Cricetulus griseus: one gene and its partners. The protein of the gene in region 3 interacts with the protein of the main gene of each other region in a pairwise test. Links are inferred from orthologs where the notes say so. Each region holds a gene or a part of one and is shown on either strand. Other genes may lie near its edges.

The links.
Region 1: the proteins of L3mbtl2 (region 3) and Paics interact in binary tests that used the Homo sapiens proteins (3 or more experiments, as listed by UniProt). The two-hybrid records come from large-scale screens. The link is inferred for Cricetulus griseus from reciprocal best matches to the Homo sapiens genes L3MBTL2 and PAICS.
Region 2: the proteins of L3mbtl2 (region 3) and Tbc1d9b interact in binary tests that used the Homo sapiens proteins (3 or more experiments, as listed by UniProt). The two-hybrid records come from large-scale screens. The link is inferred for Cricetulus griseus from reciprocal best matches to the Homo sapiens genes L3MBTL2 and TBC1D9B.

Annotation. Positions count from the first base shown.
Region 1 is NW_023276807.1:143,381,849-143,386,234, reverse strand, and holds the end of Paics (multifunctional protein ADE2), read right to left. Parts: coding exon 4,288-4,386; intron 3,696-4,287; coding exon 3,431-3,695; intron 3,194-3,430; exon of another isoform or gene 1,901-3,193; coding exon 1,742-1,900; exon of another isoform or gene 1,718-1,741; intron 1,464-1,717; coding exon 1,297-1,463; 3' UTR 692-1,296; downstream 1-691. UniProt on the Homo sapiens protein: Bifunctional phosphoribosylaminoimidazole carboxylase and phosphoribosylaminoimidazole succinocarboxamide synthetase catalyzing two reactions of the de novo purine biosynthetic pathway.
Region 2 is NC_048600.1:64,592,488-64,596,811, reverse strand, and holds the start of Tbc1d9b (TBC1 domain family member 9B), read right to left. Parts: upstream 2,959-4,324; 5' UTR 2,894-2,958; coding exon 2,776-2,893; intron 1-2,775. UniProt on the Homo sapiens protein: May act as a GTPase-activating protein for Rab family protein(s).
Region 3 is NC_048595.1:378,817,537-378,821,822, reverse strand, and holds part of L3mbtl2 (lethal(3)malignant brain tumor-like protein 2), read right to left. Parts: intron 3,227-4,286; coding exon 3,109-3,226; intron 2,490-3,108; coding exon 2,355-2,489; intron 1,991-2,354; coding exon 1,902-1,990; intron 1-1,901. UniProt on the Homo sapiens protein: Putative Polycomb group (PcG) protein. PcG proteins maintain the transcriptionally repressive state of genes, probably via a modification of chromatin, rendering it heritably changed in its expressibility.

The DNA of each region.
Region 1 (4,386 bases), on a different chromosome or scaffold from region 3:
ACTTAAGGTACAGAAGCCAGCAGAGCAGAAGAGAGAAGTAAATAGAAGACCCAACTAGTTCAGTGCATGTGATGAATATGGCAAAGAATGGGGAAACACTGTGATGGAATCTATAACTAAGCTTCATGAAACATAGCATTTGACTTTTCAGTAATGTCAGGTGTTACAGAAGTGAATGTGGCTAGGCCCTCTGTCCAGCTATTCACTAGCAAAACCAACAACTAGCCACTACATCCACTCACTCCTTTGACTGCAGTTGTGTCCAAAATGTTTTACTAGAAAATCAAAGTTTATGGCCCACAGAGGCACCTACCATAAAACCTAGTTAAATGGCTAAGCCATAATTTACGTAGTCTTTTATTGGAATGGGAAGGAGACTACTTTTTTTCAAGAATTGTCCTAATACACAAACACCTCAGGAAGGAGCCCTTTCCATCACTTCCACTTTATGTGTTTCTTCTACCCCTATTCTCAATTTCTTTAAAAACAAAACAAAACCCCCCAAGCAAACATGGGTAAAGATGTAACTCAGAGGTAGTGCTTGCCTACCAAGTGTAAGGACCTAGGGTTTCCTCACCACCATAAAAACAAACCCAACAAAGCACAAACACATACCTTAGCTGGAGATTCATGTAGCTATGTACTTTCTTAGATAAGGACTTAGAACATACAGACCATGCAGTGAGAATAGTTATTAGCATAAACAGAAATATTTTAATTTTCAAATCATGATCCACAGAAGACCAACCAGTAGCTACTGATTTACAAAAAAATCATTATTAGCATTTAGAAATAATTAGAAGTTACAGGTGATTATGAGTCACTCCACATGGATGATGGGAACCAAATTCTCTGGTCCTCTGCAAGAGAGCCACATTGGTTCTTAAACCAGAAAGACAGCTCCAGCTCCATAAAAGACATTTCTTTGCTAATGTTACATTAACTGCCCAACAAGGATCATGTAGTGATTGATAATATAATTGAACAGTGTCATACTAATTTTTACTAACTATAAAGATTTTTTTATTTCAATACAGGGTCTCAACACATAGTTTTTCTGCCTCAGCCTCTGGTGTGCTGAGGTTACAGGAACACATCATTATTCAGAACTAGAAAATATTAATAACAAATACTCACTGACAACTTGTCAACCCCTAAAATATAGAGGACCATTTTGTTCAACAGTAAACTGAATTGTTTTCTCTGATGTGAAATCATTTTGCTTAAATTCTTTCTTTTTAATTCAAACTAGGAATGTGTAACTTTTCTCCTAAAAATTACTTTTTTTTTTTTTTTTTATAAATTGCATTCTCTGATTTTCTTGTCAGCTTGCTTTAAAGATATCCATGTGTTAAGAATGCTTGCTCGAAGTTTGGCCCATACCAAATGGTTGTATAACCCAAATATCTGAGCAGCAAACTGGGCGGATCCTTCTGGAGAAAGTATAGTTGAACAGCCAAGACCTATTGGTTCAGAATAGAAAGGACAAATAAATGAGTTAGTAGCTTAAAAAGAAATAAAAAAACAAAAGATGATAATAAAGCCAAGTCTTTACTTCTTAAGAGATGCATATTAAGCAAAAAATACACAATAATTCAAAAATATAACGTCTGATTTAAAATTAGTAGGCTGTGGCTAAAATGTGTAATTAAATATTAGAAGATGAGGCTGGTAGAGACATTAAGATTGCATCTTGAAATTTTGTGTATACTCCCAGTACTGAAAATTTTCAAGATCTTACCACTGGGCAGTCGAAGGGATGACCACACATCCTGAGCACCCCAGTCTGGTGTGATGGGGGGACAGCTGATAACCGGATATGCAGTATTACCAGACATCACTGGGCCCAAACCATTGCTTCTGCCAGCCACTGCGACAAATACAGTAGGTATGCCATCGCCTAGGGAAATTACAAGATAACCAGGTCCTTTTGTTTTGTTGACAATAACAGCAGGAACAAAAAAAGGGGGGGGGCATGTTAGATGGCTCAGTGGGTAAGGGGAACTGTTGCCAAGTCTGGTGACCTGTTTGACCTCTAGAACCCATATAGTGGCAAAGAATTGACTCTTGCAAGCTGTTCTCTAACCTCCACATATACTATAAAAATAAATGTAAAATACAAAATGAACTCAAATCCTTTAGTAGTCTGCTATAGAAAAAGCATACCTAGCTGTACAGTTAATAATAACCTAAGTAGCATAGGAATGGCCATTTTTGAGATCTACAGTATAAAGAGAATGTCCTGAAGTTGGTAAGGAAATGGCTGGTTCACAGCTTCCTTCTGATATTGCTGCTTAGACTCAGCAGCATGAAGAACCTCACCAGCTGAACAGCTATCTTTTATGATGAGTTGTCCTTCCAGAGGGTGCCAGTAGACTCATTTAATAGTGATTAAAATTCTCGTGGCTACTTCCAGTATTCAGTATTTGGGTGCTGGAGTACATGTAGTAAAAGCACCCAAAGTTAAAGGGCTTAGGATGCTTGAGTTGAAAGGCCCATCATTAGCAGTATCAAAAACCAACAGCAAAAGTACATCTCTATATCTCAAAAGTTTAGGAAGTTTGTATATTTAATACAGTGTTACTCTAGCCCAGGCTCAGCTTGAATTACAGCAAACCCGACCTTCCCACCTGTTAGGACTACAGGTCCTGGTTTTATGTGGTGCTGGATACTGAATCCTGAATTTCTTATTACAACTTAGTCTGCCTTTCTGGAGAAAGAATCCAAGCCTTCATTAGCTTATTAAAGGACCGGAAGCCCTCCTCCCATTGTTAACTACACTTCTGTTAAGTTTTCTTGTACCAACGATATCCTATCATTTACTTAATGTATTAACTCCTGAAACTATAGCTTTATTTCTTATTTTCTTTCAAGAAAACTGACAAAGATACCAGAGAGGCCCTGCTGCTTTAGCCTTAGGCATCCCACAGTTGGGGTAAGGGATTCTTTTCTTTTGGAATAAGCCAGCAACAGTGCTCAAGGGGCACTGTTAATAAGACAAGGAGACCACACATCCTTCTATTTTATGTGTATGGCTGTTTTGCCTCCATGTCTATGCATGGGTGTGGTGTGCAGTGCTCCTGGAGGCCAGAAGAAGTTGATGGATTCCCCTGGACTGGAGCTAGATGGCTGTGAGTGCTCCTCTTAATCAATGAGCCTTTTTTTTTTTTTTTTTTTAAAGATTCAAAAAAATTACAAGTATGTGTGCCTGCATGAGTTTATGGGCATCACATGCATGAGGTACACAAAGAGGGATAGGATGTCAGACATTATCCCTGGGGATAAGTGTAAAAGTATAGGCATTCCACATGACTTTCCTCCGAAATATGGAAAGCCTCTTTAAAACATTATTATCCAAAACATATGTACTTTAAAATATTTTACCCAAATCAGAAATAGCTGAAGTTGTCCATTTATTTATTAAGTTTACCTTCATACTCTGCTTTAATCCTCAAAGTTTCATCCGGTCCTTTATGGGCAGATGTTACTCGAAGTTCACATGGAATCCCGAAGTTTCCACAAGCCTTTTTAATTTTCTCACAGTGACCAAGGTCAGAAGTGGAACCCATCAGCACTACAACCCTGCACTGACTATCTGACTTCAGGAGTAACTCCACTCGATCTGCAACCCACTCAAAGTTCTTCTTTACCATCTGCAGTCCTTCCGGAGTTACTTCCTTGAGGTCACGGTAAGACTAGAAAGATAGAAATTTACAAAATAATTTTCTCTTGCTAGCTTAAAAACCCTTCCTTCCTTTCTTTAAGTAGAGCTTATGACAAGTTTACATAATGAGATATATCTGAAAATGCCCGTTGATGGAGAAATGTTTTTTCAATGAAAAAGTTCAGCAGCAAAGTTTCGCTTTTCATTCCAGGTCAAATGCTTTCTTCCTTAGCAATTACAAGTAGTTGAGTTAAAAGCCTTAATTAAGACTTGGTATGTAGAATCCCATTTCCGTCCCTTAGTCTTGGTATTGTGAAGATTAGACAAACAAGGACAGTTGTCCCTTTGCTGTTTAAGAATCTGAAGGTGACATAAAAAAGCCTGCTTTGTAGGTTAAAAGTATTCCTTACCACCACAGGAGAGTTCGGTTCACTTTTACTTTTGGATACTGAAGGTTGACTTCAGGATCTGGTGTGTGCTAAGCAAGTGCCCTGTCTTTGTGTTCTATCTCCAGAAGAGAGAGATTAATTTTAAAGGTAAACACTTAGCAATAAATCAGACTGATAACCTCTCTCACCATTATAGGGCTTGATCTTACAAAAGACAGTAAGCTCAGAGCATACCTGTTTGTCTTTCTGCTGGCTCCGATCCCCTGATGGCCAGAGTCTCCAGGAATCATTATCAATAACATCAGCCAGAACAATCTCTTTGGTGGTTACATC
Region 2 (4,324 bases), on a different chromosome or scaffold from region 3:
ATCTTCTACCACTGCCCTTCTGATCCACTCTTCTTGATTACTTAAATAACGAAGTAATCAAAAAAAAAAAAAACAAACCCAACAACAACAACAACAACAAAAAACCCTGTCCATTGTTCCTGTTTGAAATGTATGCCTTCCTTTTCAAGGAGATCCGAAAACACTCCGCTGCTCTCTTCTTGGCACACAAAACAGTTTCTATCAGTTTTATTATTCATCTTAAATACTTTTTGCTACATACCATTTTTCATCTGACCCCCTCCATCTTTAATAAATTCGATGGATGGTTACAAAATAGACACATCCAAACAGATGGTTTCTCACTTGTTTTACTGAAATGTTAAAAAAAAAAAAAAAAAGTCACCCTAATTGCGGTTAGGCATCTAGGGAGATAGACGGCTCAGCGTAAAATGCCTACTATGCAAGCAGGAGGATCTAAGCCTAGATGCCCATCACCCACATAAAGATGGGTGTGGCAGCTTGTGCCTGTAACTTCAGTGAGGGAAGCAGAGTGGAGAGGGATTACTGGAATCCGATGGCCAGCCAACCGTCCCAAAACACAAGGTGGAGGTGGAGGAGAGCTGGAGAAACAGACACCCATGTCAACTTCTGGCCTCAGCACACACATGCATGGGCTCCTGCATGCATGTGTGCATACAAATACACACACACACACACACACACACACACACACACACACACACACACGGAAAGTATATAAATTGCAGTTAAATGGCGCACACTTTTAATCCTCACACTCAGGAAGCAGAGGCAGGCTGACCTCTGTGACTTCAGACTAGCCTGGTCTATGTAACAAGTTCCAGGTCTGCCAAAGCTAAATAGTGAGACTACCTCAAAAACAAAAGGAAAAAGGCACACTCGAGTTTTCCCAGAGTTTGGAGTAAATTTTTTTTTTTTTTTTTTGAGACAGGGTTTCTCTGTGGCTTTGGAGGCTGTCCTGGAACTAGCTCTTGTAGACCAGGCTGATCTCAAACTCACAGAGATCCTCCTGTCTCTGCCTCCTGAGTACTGGGATCAAAAGCATGCACCACTACCCGCCCCACTTGGAGTAAACTTTTCAATGTCCATGTTGAGGTTTTTCTTTTGGTCTTGGGAATATTCTTTTAGTCTCTGGATAAATTACTGGCATAGCCATATTGAGGACCTGAGACCTTTTTAATCTGCTGACCATCTTCTCACGTCCACTCTTTAATGAGAACTCCAGGTTGGCTAGTTATTATTGCTATTTAAAAAATTATTTCCTTTCTTTTGTTTTTGTGTTGTGAGGCAGGGTTTCTCTCTGTAGCCTTGTATGTCTCGGAACTCACTCTGTAGACCAGGCTGGCCTCCAACTCAGAGATCTGCCTCTGCCTTCTGTGCACCACATGGATGGCTCATTTCATTGCTTTTTCTGTGTTGTATCTACAAGTATGTCTGGTGGCCATGGAGGCCTGAGGAGGTTTCTGGATCCTCTAGAACTGGAATTACTGCTGGCTGTCAGCCACCATGTGGCTGCTGGGATTTGGACCTGGGTCCTGCTGCCAGGACCCAGGAAAAGAGGTTTGAATAAATCTGCATTACTGATGGATCTCTCTTAGGGAGACAATGCTCAGAACTGACATCTGTGAAGGCACAATAGCTACAGCTGCTTGCACAAATCTCGATCAGTGGGATTCGGAGGAGTCCATAGAATGGCTGGGGCAGTACTCTGGAAGCTCAGCCTAGGGGGACACAGAGATGAATGATGTAACAAAAGGGATTTGTCATATGGTTTCCTGTGTTCCCCAGTGGCCTTGTGGCCTTCCAAGGTTGGTCATTGGGCTGCCCAGGACAGCTGCTACCTAACTGTCCATAAACTTTGGGTCCTGGAGGCCGGTACAGTACTACCTTCAGTAATCTCCAGGCCCTTCGGGAAGGAGCCTGACTGTGGAAGAGAACATTGAGTTTTCTTGAAAAAGGTACAGTTCCTTCCACATTAAGAAGTGTGGTTCATGACAGCCTGGCAGCTGATGGCACCTATAAGAAGCCTCCAACTGCATCTGGCAGGACTGTTAGCTGCCACACTGAAAATAGGGCCTTTCGCAGAGAATTCGCTTTATAAACCGAACGATATGGCACCCAGAAGGGTCCACTGGAGTCTCCTGTAGGGCCAGACCTGTTCCTGCAATACCTGACGGCTCTGGAGCACAAGGGGCTTTGAATAAATCCTGCTCAGTAGACTCCCACAATCGCACATGTCACACAACATCAGAGGCACCCACACCAGCTGCTTCTGTATGAGTGGTGGTGCCCAGACACCCAAGGGGCATCTGGGCTTTCTCAGGGGCACGCTTCATATACACTGATAATTATGCAAAAACAAGCATTGGGTCTGGAGCTCTGATGGCACCATGTGAACAGAAGCTGGAGGAAGGGGAACAGAGCATCTTTGATCTTCATAAAGAGACAATTCCTGGGTGAGTTGGAAAAAAAGAAGAGGGCAAAAGAAAATGTGTGTTTATCCCACTTGGTCCCTCAGAGTCACTTGGAGAAATTGAGGCAGAAGGCGAGCTGGGGGAACTCTGCACGCTTCTGGCTGCTAAGTTCCTCTGCAGGAGTGTGCACACGTCTCCGGGAGATCACTGCTGCCCTCCCCTGCCACCGGTCCTGGGACGATCCTCCCCGCCCGCTCTCCGACCCCTCGCGTCGCTGCGCGTGCCCGCTGGCCCTCTGGCCGCGTCCTGCTGTCCCGCCAGGCCCGGTGCGCACAGGCCCGGCCACCCGCGCCCCGCTCACCCGTGAGGCCGCCGCCCTTGCCGTGGCCCCGGCGCCGCTGCAGCACAAAGAAGGGGTTGGCCCGCTCCGTCACCCACAGCGCGTTGGCCACCAGCACCTCCTCCGGCCCGAGCCACATCGCGCGGCCGCTCGCACCCGGGCCAGAGCCCGCGAGGCGGAAGCGCGCGCCGCCGTCGCTGCGCTCGAGCCGAGCCGAGCCGAGCAGAGCCGAACGGCCGGGGCGGGGTCGAGACGCCAGCCCGGAGGATGGCGCCCCCTGGTGGCCGCGCTCGCACGCAACGCCGCCCTCCTTGCTCTCTCCTGGCCTCGCAGTCCCGCCCAGCCCCGCCAACGCTGTCCAGTTGATGGGGAAATCACATGCCCTCCGCCAACTGTGCAGCCCAGGCGTGCTAATGGCTGGAGAAGGGTTAGCAGCTCCTGGTCAGCCTCGGAATCCTGACGCCTAAGTCTAAAGTTGGAATCCTCAAGAGTCCAGTTGTCAAGAAGCTCCGAGGCAGCTGGTGTCCTTGGAAATAGTGCTCTCACCCCATCTGACAGATGGGTTGAGGTGGCCTTAAGGCTGGGGTCACTGTTGGGCACATTTTTGCATAAGCGGGCCTCGCTATGGTCTAGGAGCACAGAGCCCCGCTCTTCCCTCTCCTGGCCAGAAGGAGGCAATCACTCATAGTGCATATCCACCTTCAGATCCCAGCCCAGGGCTCCTGCCACTCACTGAACCATGAAGCAAAACTAGCGTCTGTGGGCTCTGTCAACTAGAGACCGGTGAAGCAATTAGGAACAAGACAGTTTCTAACTCAAAGGTGCTCTTGCCTCTACCTGGACAACAGGTGTGAATCATATTTATTTTGGTAAAGGCCAGGGAGATGGCTGTACGAGGTGTCTCATGTCACCTGGATGTGGCAGGAGGGTGAAAGGAAGGTAGACTCATTCTGGGAGGTTTGGGTTAGTTTTAAAGGGTTTTCTTCGAAACAGGGTCTCTAATATTTCTGTATTTCAGGCTAACCTCAAACTCTATGTAACTATGGATGATCGCAGACTCTTTGATCCCTCTGCCTCAGTCATTACCATTGCTAGGATTGCAGGCATTCACCACCAGGCCGGGGATGTAACTTGAGAACTTCATTCACTCTAGGCCAGGAGGCTGAACTGCATCCAGAGTCCCTTGAGTTGGGTTCTGTCACTGGCATTCAAGGTCTTGGGTGTGGCAGATGTAATGGGTGACAGGCAGAGTGAATGAAATGCAGCTTGTGACTCTAAGCTTTCAAGATATGGAGACTGGTTTTCCTTAAGACTTTGGAACACAATACTCTGAGGTTTATCCTGACAGAGTACAGAACAGTCACTCAGCCTGGCTGTCCATCATATTGCTACAGGGGGGAGGGAGTATGGTATCCACCTGTGAAAATATAATGAAACTCATCATCTTGCACATACTAGATTTGTAGTCTAGCACGTCAGTGTGTTCTAGTAATAGGAAAGAGGGTTCGGGAAAGCATTAACCGATGCCACTGTGCTCTCTGGAGAATTCTACACTCAAGAATTTGGAAGT
Region 3 (4,286 bases):
ATTCTTATAAATAATTTATACACTGGTATATTGCCTGCATATATGTCTGTGTGAGGGTTTCGATTTCCTGGAACTGGAGTTTACACACAGTTGTGAGCTGCCTTATGGGTACTGGGAATTGAACCCTGGGTCCTCTGGAAGAGCAGCCTGTGCTCTTAAATGCTGAGCCATCTCTCCAGTCCCAGTGCTTTGGTTTTTGATTTATTTTTATTATGTTTATCTGTATGCCATATGTGTGGGGTACTGGTGGAGGCTAGAAGAGGATGTTGGGATCTCCAGAGCAGGAGTTTCAGGCAGATCTGAGCTGCCTTATGTGGTGCTGGGAATTGAACTTAGGTCCTCTGGAGGACCAGCAAGTACTGTTAACCACTGAGCCATCTCTCTAGCCTCCCCCACCCCATTTTTGTTAAGACAGGGTCTTGGCTGGGTGGTGGTGTCACATGCAATTAATCCCAGCACTTGGGAGGCTGAAGCAGGTGGATCTCTTTGAGTTCGAAGCCAGCCTGGTCTACAGAGCTAGTTCCAGGACAGCTAGGGCTACACAGAGAAACCCTGTCTCAAAAAACCAAAACCAAAACCAAAAAATCAAAAACAAACAAAAAAATTTAAAAACTAAAATAAAAGCCGGGCGTTGGTGGCACACACCTTTAATCCCAGCACTCAGGAGGCAGAGGCAGGCAGATTTCTGTGAGTTCGAGGCCAGCCTGGTCTACAGAGAGCTAGGACAGGCTCCAAAGCAATACAGAGAAACCCTGTCTCAAAAAAACCAAAAAAAAAAAAAAAAAAAAAGCTACAAGTTTACTAACATAATATATTCTAATGCTTAGAAAAGTTTCAAACAAGTCATTCTACGTCTCAAATGAGAAATCACAATGTTCAGTATTAAAAAGAAAAAAGGGCTGGGCGGTGGTGGTGCTCTTGGGAGGCAGAGGGCAGAGACAGGCAGATCTCTGTGAGTTGGAGACCAGCCTGGTCTACAAAGAGCTAGTTCCAGGACAGCCTCCAAAGCCACAGAGAAGTCTGTCTCAAAAAACCAAAAAAAAAAAAACCAAAAAAAAAAACCAAAAAAAAAAAAAAAAAAAAAAAGAGCACTGACAACATTTCCCAGCACCCACATGACAGATCACAATTGTCTATAACTCCAGTTCCAGGTGATCTGGCACCTAGACACAGACATATATGCACATAAAATAAAATAAAATATGAATAAATATTTTTAAAAAAGCAGGCTGAGCAAATCATGAGGAGCAAACCAGTAAGCAGTAATACTCCATGGCCTCTGCTTCAGTTCCTGTCCTGACTTCCTTAGATCATGGACTATGATGTGGAAGTAAGTGTATGCAGAATAAACCCTTTCCTCCCCACATTCCTTCACAGTAATGGTGTTTTACCAAAGCAATAGAAACCTAAGATACTTTTGAAAATGTTAGAAGAAAGGGCAAGAATCTGGGACATTTCAAAATCCAAAAGGCCAAGAAAGCAAGAGGATCAATGTGGTGGACCAGGGTCTTGGCAGGGAGGCAGGTAGCCACCCACCAGAGGTAGTTCTGGACTGAAGACTGCCAAACAAAGTCACAAGAGAGTACTATGATGGGGTTAGGAGCATTACTCACGGTACTAGTATATGGAAAGCCCTAGGTCCCACTCCCAGAACCACAAAAGCAAAATAAAACCCCTGAAATGAATCATATGAAGGATGGAAAAAAGTGGGAGAGGGAGGGAGGGAGGGGGAGGAGAAAGGGAGTGAGGAGGGGAAAGAGAAGGAGGAGGGTACAGAGGGAAGGAGGAGGGGGAGAGGGAGGAAAGAGGGGAATAGGGAGTAAGGAGGAGGAGGGGAAGAGGAAAGGGAGGGAGAGGGGAAAGGGAGGGAAGAGGGAAAGAAGCTGGGAACACAGTCAGACCTTGATGTGAAAATCTGCAGGAAGTGTCCTGGAGCCCACCAACCGCTTCATGAGGTAGCTCTTCCAGTCAGTACACTTGATGTGGATGGCTACAGAGACACAAGCACAAGCTGGTAACAGATTGACAGCACCTTCACCAACCCAGAGATCAGCTGGAGGGATGGAAATATTCAGTTCCACCACTTCAGGCCAGTAATGACTTCATCTTATAAAACCAGCCTCTAGGGGCTGTAGAGCTGGTTCAGAGGTTAAAAACACTGCCTGTTCTTCCAAAGGACACGGGTTCAATTTCCAGTCCCCCACTCCCCCCAGTGATTCACAACCATCTCTAGCTCCTGTACACATATGGTAAATAGACATTCACTCTGATATATATATGAATCCAAACTACCCAGGAACTTCTAGGGGAAGGAATAAAGGGACCTGGCATGGGGAACTTTCTCATTAACTCACTCCGTGGAGGCACCAGGATCTTGCTGTTAATGGCACACCAACCAATGGGGTGGACATCCACAGTCCCCAGGTTGCACCAGAAGTCATGACTGGCATCATTTTCAAAGCCTTCATATCGGAGCAGCACTCGGTACCCTGAAAGGAAGGGCAAGGGGACCTGTGAGAGGGAGGAGATGGGAAAGGCACATTCTCAGGCTTACTTCCTCCTCTAGCACCAGTCGGACTTCCTATGCTAGAAACTCCTTCCAGACGAGTGGGGTCCCTGATATCCAAACAAAACAAAATCCAGGCCACATACTTAGAAAGCATTCTGGGCTGGAGAGATGGCTCAGAGGTTAAGAGCACCAACTGCTCTTCCAAAGGTCCTGAGTTCAATTCCCAGCAACCACATGGTGGCTCACAATCATCTGTTATGAGATCTGGTGCCCTCTTCTGATGTGCATATATATATGGAAGCAGAATGTTGTATACATAATAAATAAAATCTTAAAAAAAAAAAAAAGTGTTCTGGTCTGGTAACTTCCTCTATACCCTCATTATCCCCAGAATAAACCTTAAAAATAAAAAAGAAACAATACCCTAGTTTTAAAGTTTGCCCAGTTCTGTGCTCTCATCTAAGGGAGGAGAACCTCCAAGAAGGGAGAGAAAGCTCGTGAGTGAGGCCTTGGTTTATGAGGCCTATTTTACCCTATGACACTACCCACCCACTTGATAAATCCCAGACCCTGCCCTGACCAGAGAGCAGAACACCAACCAGCTGCCTGGATGACGGAGGCAATCCAATACACCCGGCTGGGGAGCACAGCATCACTGTTGAGGACCTCTACCTTCATCCCCTTCACGACATCTTCCCACTGGTCATAAAGGGGTACCTGTGTGGTGAGGAGAGCATTGAAGGGCTAAGAGGAGCTGTCTCAGGCCTGAGCCATCATGTCTGTCCCCTAACCTTAACATCATACATCATGCACTGTGCAGAAGACTAGGAATAAAGAGGTAAACAAGGCATGTCCACTGTCTAGAAACGTGGGATGGCAGAGTGCCATCAAACAGAGCCATGGGAAGAGGGTTAGAGGCACAGACTTGAATTCTCATCATTACAGAGCCAGCTCCTAACTATCAGTATAGACACACTCTGCATCCTCACCTGTTATTCTGCCAGCTGTACAGCAGTGTCTAGCACAGAGACTACCCTCTTTAACATCATTCAACCTGAGCTTTCACACAGAGCCGGCAGGACACACACACTCATCCCAGCCCTTCCCAGCTTCCGGCTGCCTTACCAATGCCTAACCCTAGACTTGCTGCCAATGGTAAGTTGATCCCCTTTGGATCTTTCACTATCAGATTCAGCCTAAGCTACACAGGCAATAATCCATCTCCCAAGGCAGACAGGCTCACAGAGGCCTGGGGCAGCATGCAGTGGTCCAGGTACACAGGCAAGTTTTTTCTGTTTTGTTTTGTTTTGTCTTTTTTTCCGAGACAAGGTTTCTATGTGTAACAGCCCTAGCTATCCTGGATCTTTAGACCAGGCTGGCTTCAAACTCACAAAGATTCACCTGCTCTGCCCCCAAGTGCTGGGATTAAAGGCGTGTGTGTGTCCCACCACTGCCAGGCTCCACAGGCAAACTCTTTACAGGGCTTCTTTTATATTGTGTTAAATGTGACCTAATTTCCTTACAATACAACTGTAGGGAAAAAGAGAATGCTTTCTTCCCCTGCAAGAAAGACACATTAGCAACTCAGAGAAGGACATTGTAGGACTTAGGACCAACCTGTCATAGTTGAAGACAAGTGGACAATCCAGGAAGGCCAGGCAGCTGGCTCACTCTGCTCAAAAGAAAGCCTCAGGAGGCCTCTCTGACATTAGGAGACAGGACTGAAAGCCTAAAGAAACCAGGCTTGAGGAATGCCTTTAATCCCAGCACTCAGGAG